Oryza sativa Japonica Group: one gene and its partner. Each later gene encodes a partner of the first gene's protein in a complex. Links are inferred from orthologs where the notes say so. Each region holds a gene or a part of one and is shown on either strand. Other genes may lie near its edges. The genes, in order: DNA-directed RNA polymerase II subunit RPB7 and DNA-directed RNA polymerase II subunit 4.

Region 1 (4,156 bases):
AGTTTTTGGGGCATCTTAGGAGCCCCTTCTGTGTAGTGGAATCGTGGAAACGATGGTAACGATTGAATCGTCAGGAAGATCATTTTGGAAGATCATTTTGATCAAGTGTATGCACCGCAAGCCCCTTTGGAAGGAAGACTGAAAGGTTAACCTCTGGCTCTAACTTCTTTGCAGCCTTGCAGGTGAGTTGAGACTTATATATCCAAATAATTTTTGCTCTTTACCAATGTTTTATCTCCTGTCATCTGATTTCTGTTAATACCGCAGGAGCAGTGCCGTATGCAGATCCTTCATTGAAGGACCACGTGAGAATATTGAGTATAACTGCACAATCAAAGTATACTTCCTGTCTTCATTAGGAAGTGCCGTCAAGAACTTAAGTGGGGTGACCGCTGTGTTCTTGCTAACTTATTGTATCTGCCCTTAGCTTGATCCTAACATGAACAACTGACAGTGTAAACCTATCTTTTTTCATTAGCCCTTTCTTTCTCTTTAGTTTTATTTTGCAAGGATGCAGTTCGAAGCATTGAATGTTTAATTGCAAGGATACAGTGCAAAATTGTACAGTCCGTAAAAAGGTCAGAGTTTGATTAGTTAAATGACTGCTTGAAAGTTGAATCCCACAACACACTCAAGCAACAGTGCCAACTTGGTAAAGCGCCATTTATAGTGATGAAAATACAGGTTCCAACCCACTTACAGCCCCTTCCAGTGGGGCTTCCATATTTTAACACTACAATTCATCGGAATATTCCCGTTCAAGAGCATGAAGAGGCGTAATCTTGTCACCGGATAATTTACACTGCCGCACCAGGATCACTGATAACGCCCAGGAAGTCATCTTTTATTGTGCCAATGCAAAACTGCAACAAACATATTCAAACTGTTAGAGCATTGCACATCACCAGCTTAAACGGGGTTATGAGTTATGACAGCAAGAACATGGATTCAGAAATGCCTCAGGGAAGAATATAGCCACATGCATTCAACAATTATCTATTATGATACCATACTAGTGGCTAGCTTATGAGCATTCATGGTAATTACTTGCAATTTGTTGCTACAAGATTACATGTCAAATTTTCATTTTGATATACTTTTCAACTAATTTACTTGACACACATCAAGGTTGATCTTTGCTGATAAAACCACATCTGTTCTTTTTCACACATTAGGAAAGAAAAACATCATGCAAACTACTGGTATGGAAAAGTGGGTTACATCACCAATAATTGCATATGGTGGTTACTCTGAGAGCAATGCTACAAAAATCTAAAAGACAGGGAACACCTGGTTTTTCGTTTGTTTTTTTGCACGAAACTAGATGTCAACAAACTTACAATTTCTGTTGCATCAACACGTGTCCCAATAATCTTCAACCGAACCTCACTATCTTTCTGAATTTTCACCTGCATCGGACAAACAAGTAAATCCTAGTAAGCAAAAGAAGATGGCCAAAGCAATTAGCCTTCAACAGTAGTACAGTATTCACATCTATTCGTTTCTAGGAAAAACAATGAACATATATGTGTATGCATTTCAAGCATAGTTATGACATGCTGATACCAAAATTGGATACAATGGACATTACATTACATTCCCCAGCATTTCTTTTTAAGTCAGACATATCACCAATAAGCATAAATAAACAGGAAAAAAAATCATAACCTGTCAACAGTTGTCAATGTTTATAGAGGACAAGACATAAGAAGTAACTGTAGAAAAGAAGCATACCGATCCATCAGAAGTAGTATAATTTGGCACATCCCCAGATTGGAACTCCATATCATCAGGAATCAACTGCACAACAAAAATAGAAACGGGAAAATGCAAGAACAAAACATTAGTTGGTTAGAAAGCACAAATTCAACTAGAACCTTATGTTGCCTTCCAGTCACTTTAAGATTGTTCAAACCAACATGTTTGATAAATTAGTATCAGAAATTTCTATGACAAAAACCATCCTTCGAGTTGATGGTACAGCTAAACTGGGTGTATGAAAATGGTACTGAACCATTATCGTCTATCGATCATTCTAGCATAAATTCTGATTCTTTTACTCCACAAATTTGGAGCATTAGAAAAAAGCAGCTCCAAGCAATGCAGGCACTCACATGGTTGGACACGAAGATCTGCACAGGCCCAGCCTCCGCGAAGAACCCCATCTGCAGAACCAACACGAAAACGAATTGGAGCCACTAACCACAAACAAGCCCTAATCCACCCAACACCAAATACCAATCCGGCGAGGGACGGAGGCACATCGCCCACCTTGTTGACCATGGTGACGACGGCCTCCAGGATCTCGCCCTTGAAGGGGCGGAAGACGACGCACTGGTACTTGACCGGGAAGGTGACGTAGCCCGTGCCCTCCCTGATGAGCCCCTTGCCGACATCCTCCACCCCCGTGATCGCCACCACGAACCCATGCCGCCCGCTGCAAAAGGACGAACAAGAATGAATCCCGTCGAACCCCACATCCCCTCCCCGCCCTACTAGGGTTTGCCCAACCAATCCCGAGCCCTACCTGCAGGTGCCCTCGACGTCCTTGATGAGCTTGGAGACGAGCTTGTCGCGGAGGTGCGGGCCGAAGTGCCGCGGGTGCAGCTGCATGTTCCGCTCCAGCACGATGTGGAAGAACATCTCGCCCCCTCCTCGTCCGCGCCGCCGGCGAGCGAGCGAGCGAGCGAGCGATTCCTCAACAGTTCGACTCAACTGGCTTGGCTTCTCTCTCGCGAGAGGCAATATTATTAGCCCTGACGAGGCGTTCGAGCCGTCGGATCAACGCCCCTGTGCATATCCTGGCCGTCCAATAAATCTCTTTACCTAGTTCGGCTTGGGCCTCGCACCGACTCCGACTCCGACCCCGACTCCGACTCGCCGCCGCCCTTGCGCCGCCTCCGCGGAGCCCTCCCCTCCCCGCCGGCGGCGGCTGCGAAGGTGCGGCACGTACGCGCTGGTTTCTTCTTCTTCTCTCCGAATCGTGTCCTGGGTTGGGGGGGGGGGGGGCTCCCGCATGCTTGCTTGCTTCTGAATTTGCTTCGCGGGTGTTTGTTTGTTGGTTGTGGCAGCGACTGGATTGGATGGCATCGAGGGTTCCGTCTCCACCGTGCGCGGCGGCGCGGTCCGGTTGGGCTGTCCCGATGGTCTCCGTCCGGCCGGCGAGATCCGGCGTGGCGAGTATGATGTCCCTTTCGATTCGATTCTCTGTATGGCTCGATTTGTTACTGCTTGTCGCGAATTGGGGGAAAAACTGGGATTGCTCGTTTGTTTTGGCAGGAGGACGTGCTGTGGTGTGCGCCGTTATCTTCAGGCCGTGTATCGATATTCATAAGGTCCGTACGAGTGGAACACTTGCTTCCTCTTATGTTTCATGGGTGTTCTGAACATTAACATGATCGTAAATTGATACCCCAACTTTGTAAGCAAAGTACTTTCAGAAGTTTTTTCAGCTTGTATGCTCCAAATTTTCCTGCGATGCGATTCACCTGGAACACCGTGATATTAAAACTAAAGGCTTATGCATTGATTTCTACTGTCATTTTGCAACCATGTGAGTTCAGTTACTTCTGGCATTAACAGTGTCATTTATCTGATGGGCTGTTTCTTAATATAAATTTTCAGGGGAAAGTTAAACAGATTGTTGGCTCTACTCTTCGGGATTCATCAAACGATGGCACGGCACTTGTTACAAATTTTGAATCAGACAAACCTCCAGCAGAATTTGCAAATATATATAAAGAGGATGAACTTATTGGTGGACATGTAATCATGCTTGGTGCAGATCCTGCTAGTCAAGCTGCTGCCATGGAAGCACTACATGCATATCCTGGTGAGAATGTTATCTAGCTGTTACCTGTTAGCATAATTATGTTGTTATTTGGACTAGTTCTTTTGTGAGCAGCTGTCTGTAGTTGTTTGTTCTTTACTGTTATCAATAATAATTATGATATAAAGCCACATTTGTGACTATTGAATATATGGGTGCTTACAGTGTATATAATTTAATAAGTGCAGTGTTTGTTTTTATTTTCTAAAAAAAACTAGCTGATACAAAATATCATGTAGCTATTTGAGAGCAATGAAAAATACTTTGCCAAAATGCAACTCTAGGGGAAAAAACTTAATAACACTTCTTCCTTTTCCGTTGTTGTTT
Region 2 (2,925 bases), on another chromosome or scaffold:
CCCGAACAACTGGGATGCCCTGCGCTTTTCTGGTAGGTCAGGAAACACCTGGAATCAACTAGAAGATAATTTATGAGAAAAGATTTGCATATGCCCACAAATGCCAGAATGATTCTGGAGCAGGACAAGGCATGAAACTTGAACTTACAATACAAGATCTAGTCCCCTTGAGTTCCTTAAGTTTTCTGGCAACAGCAAGAGCAAGCTGGATGTTGGCGTCGATGAACTCGTCCGAGGAACCCTTGAAAACGAAGCAAAGCAGGGTAGGATGGTTAGAAACAAGCGTTCATCACACGTATGTGGCAACAAAAGCTAAACCCTTTTTAACTTGAAGCCAAGGAAAAAGAGAGATTCTGCTTTGAAACAACATTATACAGAGGTAGCAGCAGCATTCAAACTGAAACTAGAGCAGTCTATATAATATACATCAAGATTAGTCTTTGCATTGTTACAGAATTCACTCATAACAAAGCAAGAAACTAGAACAATGAGTGTGAGTTATGAGACGAGCTTGAGATAGAAATGCAAAGTATACCTTGTAAGAAGAGATGTTGCTCGGCAGAGGCCTTTTCACAAGCACCACCACCAAAAAAAAAAATGAGACAAGGAGGATGAGATAATGCAAGCATTATTAATAACCAACTAAGTAAAAGATTAGGCGAGATGGTGGCGCGAATCTATGGAGGAAAGGGAATGAATAGGTCGCGGGCGTACGGGAACTCGATCTCGAGGCGGGTCTTGCCCTCGTCCATGGCGCAGGCGAGGGAGCGGGCGGCGTCGGAGACGAGCACGTCGTAGGACCGCGGCTTGTACACCGACACCCCCGCCCTAAGCGCCTCCACGTCCCCGGCCTCGGCGCGCGGCGAGCACCGTGCCGCCCCACCACGCCGCCGCGGGAACGCCCCGAGCCGCGGGGCCACGACCGGCGGCGACTGGCCGCACAGGCGACTGCGCGCCGCGGGAGCGGGAGCGGGAGCGCGCGGGCGGAGGCCGGAGAGCGGCGCGGGTGTCGCCATGGCCACGCCGCCGACGACGACGAGTGGTGGAGAGGAGGAGACGAAGTGACGAGCAGCGCCACTGCAATCCACGCGGGCGCCTCGAGGCCACCACCTGCCTCACTGCCACGTGGAGCCCGCACCACCGCACCGGATAAATCCACCAAAAATAAATTAAAAAAAAGAGAGAAGTGAGGTGGAGGTGCGGGGAATCGAACCCCGTGCCTCTCGCATGCGAAGCGAGCGCTCTACCATATGAGCTACACCCCCGATGCTGATCTCCTCGGGAATCGAGCCCCTTCATATCCCCGCCGTCGCCGGGGAAGACGACACGCCCGCCGTCCTTGTCGCCGACCACTCGCCGCCGCCGTCGAGTAGTAAACGGATGGACGGTCCAGATCACCCCGAAAGGAACACGCTCGTGCAGATCGAGCCGGCCCAATGCGTTAATGGGCCTAGCCTGTTAGCGAATCGGATCGTGAGTCCAGCCCGTTAAGAGGCGCCTCTCGCCGCCTTGGTTTCTTTTCCCCTCCCGAGTCCAGACTCCGCCCGCAGCCGCATCGCCAACGCCATAGCCGCCGAGGTTGAGGTGAGCCACCGAGAGGGGAGAGAGAGCGCGCCGAGATGTCCGGCGAGGAGGAGGAGAACGCGGCGGAGCTCAAGATCGGGGAAGGTGAGTCCGTCCGAATCGGAATCGAGTAGAGGTATCGGTTTGATTTGATTTGATACCTAGGGTTTGATGGGTTGCAGAGTTCTTGAAGGCCAAGTGCCTGATGAACTGCGAGGTGGCGATAATCCTGGAGCACAAGTACGAGCAGATCCAGCACATGTCGGACGGGGACCCGTCGTCGCAGGTGTCGCAGGTGTTCGAGAAATCGCTGCAGTACGTGAAGCGGTTCAGCCGGTACAAGAACCCGGACGCGGTGAGGCAGGTGAGGGAGACGCTGAGCCGCTACGGCCTCGCCGAGTTCGAGCTCTGCACCCTCGGCAACCTCTGCCCCGACACCAGCGACGAGGCCTCCGCCCTCGTCCCCTCCCTCCGCTCCGGCGGCAGGTTCGTCGGCGACCCCGGCAGCGAGAAGATCGACAAGATGCTCAACGACCTCTCCCTTATCAAGAAGTTCGAGTAGTAGGACTGTAGCTTATCAGATTTGCTGGTGAACTGTCTAATTAATATCTGTGTTATCTTCTTGAGAGAAGGTGAATCATAATTAGGGCTCATTTGATTTGAATGCTCGTTGAGGTTTGTTCGATATCAAATCGATCCAAAGTTCTGCTGTGTATCAGTGTATCACCTTCAGGAGGAATGTAGTGAGATCATGAAAACCGAGATTAAGTCAATATCTATCTAGTGACTTTTGAAAAGAAAAAGGAGGTGAATTGGAGTACTGATTCATATAATCACTCCTTTTATCTTATGTTTGTCTTTCTGTTATGTATGATCTCTGGGAGTGATGTTTCCATTTTACTATCAGTTATTCATGTGTGATTTTAAAAAAAGGATTTTACCAGTATGTTATTGATTGAAACCGTTGCACAGGATGAAGAAAAAATTGTCCAGGAAACAACCCAGCCAGATTTTCTTTGTTCTGTTTGGTTTAAAAAGAGGTTACCTTACCACGTATTTGCAACAATTGAATGGTGTACTAATTTTTGTGTAGTTTTATTGACATGTGAAGACCAAACATGATTCCACTGTAATCGCTACGAGTAAAAAGGACTAAAGGGGTAAGAATTTCCGTAAAAACTTTGTTCTTCTATCTCACATCAGTGATGAACATCGGCACACATATACTCTGTACTGCACTGGTGATCCGGGAATCCGAATTGAGCCTCAACACCTCCTCAGCATGGTGGAGCTGCTTGTAGCTCACTGTGACAGATTGACATCCAAGTACAAGATAACAAGCACACAGCACAGAAAAAGGCA

The links.
Region 2: DNA-directed RNA polymerase II subunit RPB7 (region 1) and DNA-directed RNA polymerase II subunit 4 share a complex: the UniProt entries of both Arabidopsis thaliana proteins name them as parts of the RNA polymerase II complex. The link is inferred for Oryza sativa Japonica Group from reciprocal best matches to the Arabidopsis thaliana genes NRPB7 and NRPB4.

What each region holds. Positions count from the first base shown.
Region 1 is NC_089039.1:19,589,806-19,593,961, forward strand, and holds DNA-directed RNA polymerase II subunit RPB7, read right to left. Parts: upstream 2,723-4,156; 5' UTR 2,644-2,722; coding exon 2,528-2,643; intron 2,438-2,527; coding exon 2,272-2,437; intron 2,166-2,271; coding exon 2,115-2,165; intron 1,801-2,114; coding exon 1,735-1,800; intron 1,410-1,734; coding exon 1,341-1,409; intron 864-1,340; coding exon 798-863; 3' UTR 560-797; downstream 1-559. Other genes in the region: 1-(5-phosphoribosyl)-5-[(5-phosphoribosylamino)methylideneamino] imidazole-4-carboxamide isomerase, chloroplastic, read left to right, coding at 3,084-3,180, 3,280-3,335, 3,625-3,832. UniProt on the Arabidopsis thaliana protein: DNA-dependent RNA polymerase catalyzes the transcription of DNA into RNA using the four ribonucleoside triphosphates as substrates. Component of RNA polymerase II which synthesizes mRNA precursors and many functional non-coding RNAs.
Region 2 is NC_089036.1:900,949-903,873, reverse strand, and holds DNA-directed RNA polymerase II subunit 4, read left to right. Parts: upstream 1-1,529; 5' UTR 1,530-1,619; coding exon 1,620-1,668; intron 1,669-1,745; coding exon 1,746-2,125; 3' UTR 2,126-2,413; downstream 2,414-2,925. Other genes in the region: protein LPA3, read right to left, coding at 1-48, 149-241, 536-566, 715-1,016. UniProt on the Arabidopsis thaliana protein: DNA-dependent RNA polymerase catalyzes the transcription of DNA into RNA using the four ribonucleoside triphosphates as substrates. Second largest component of RNA polymerase II which synthesizes mRNA precursors and many functional non-coding RNAs.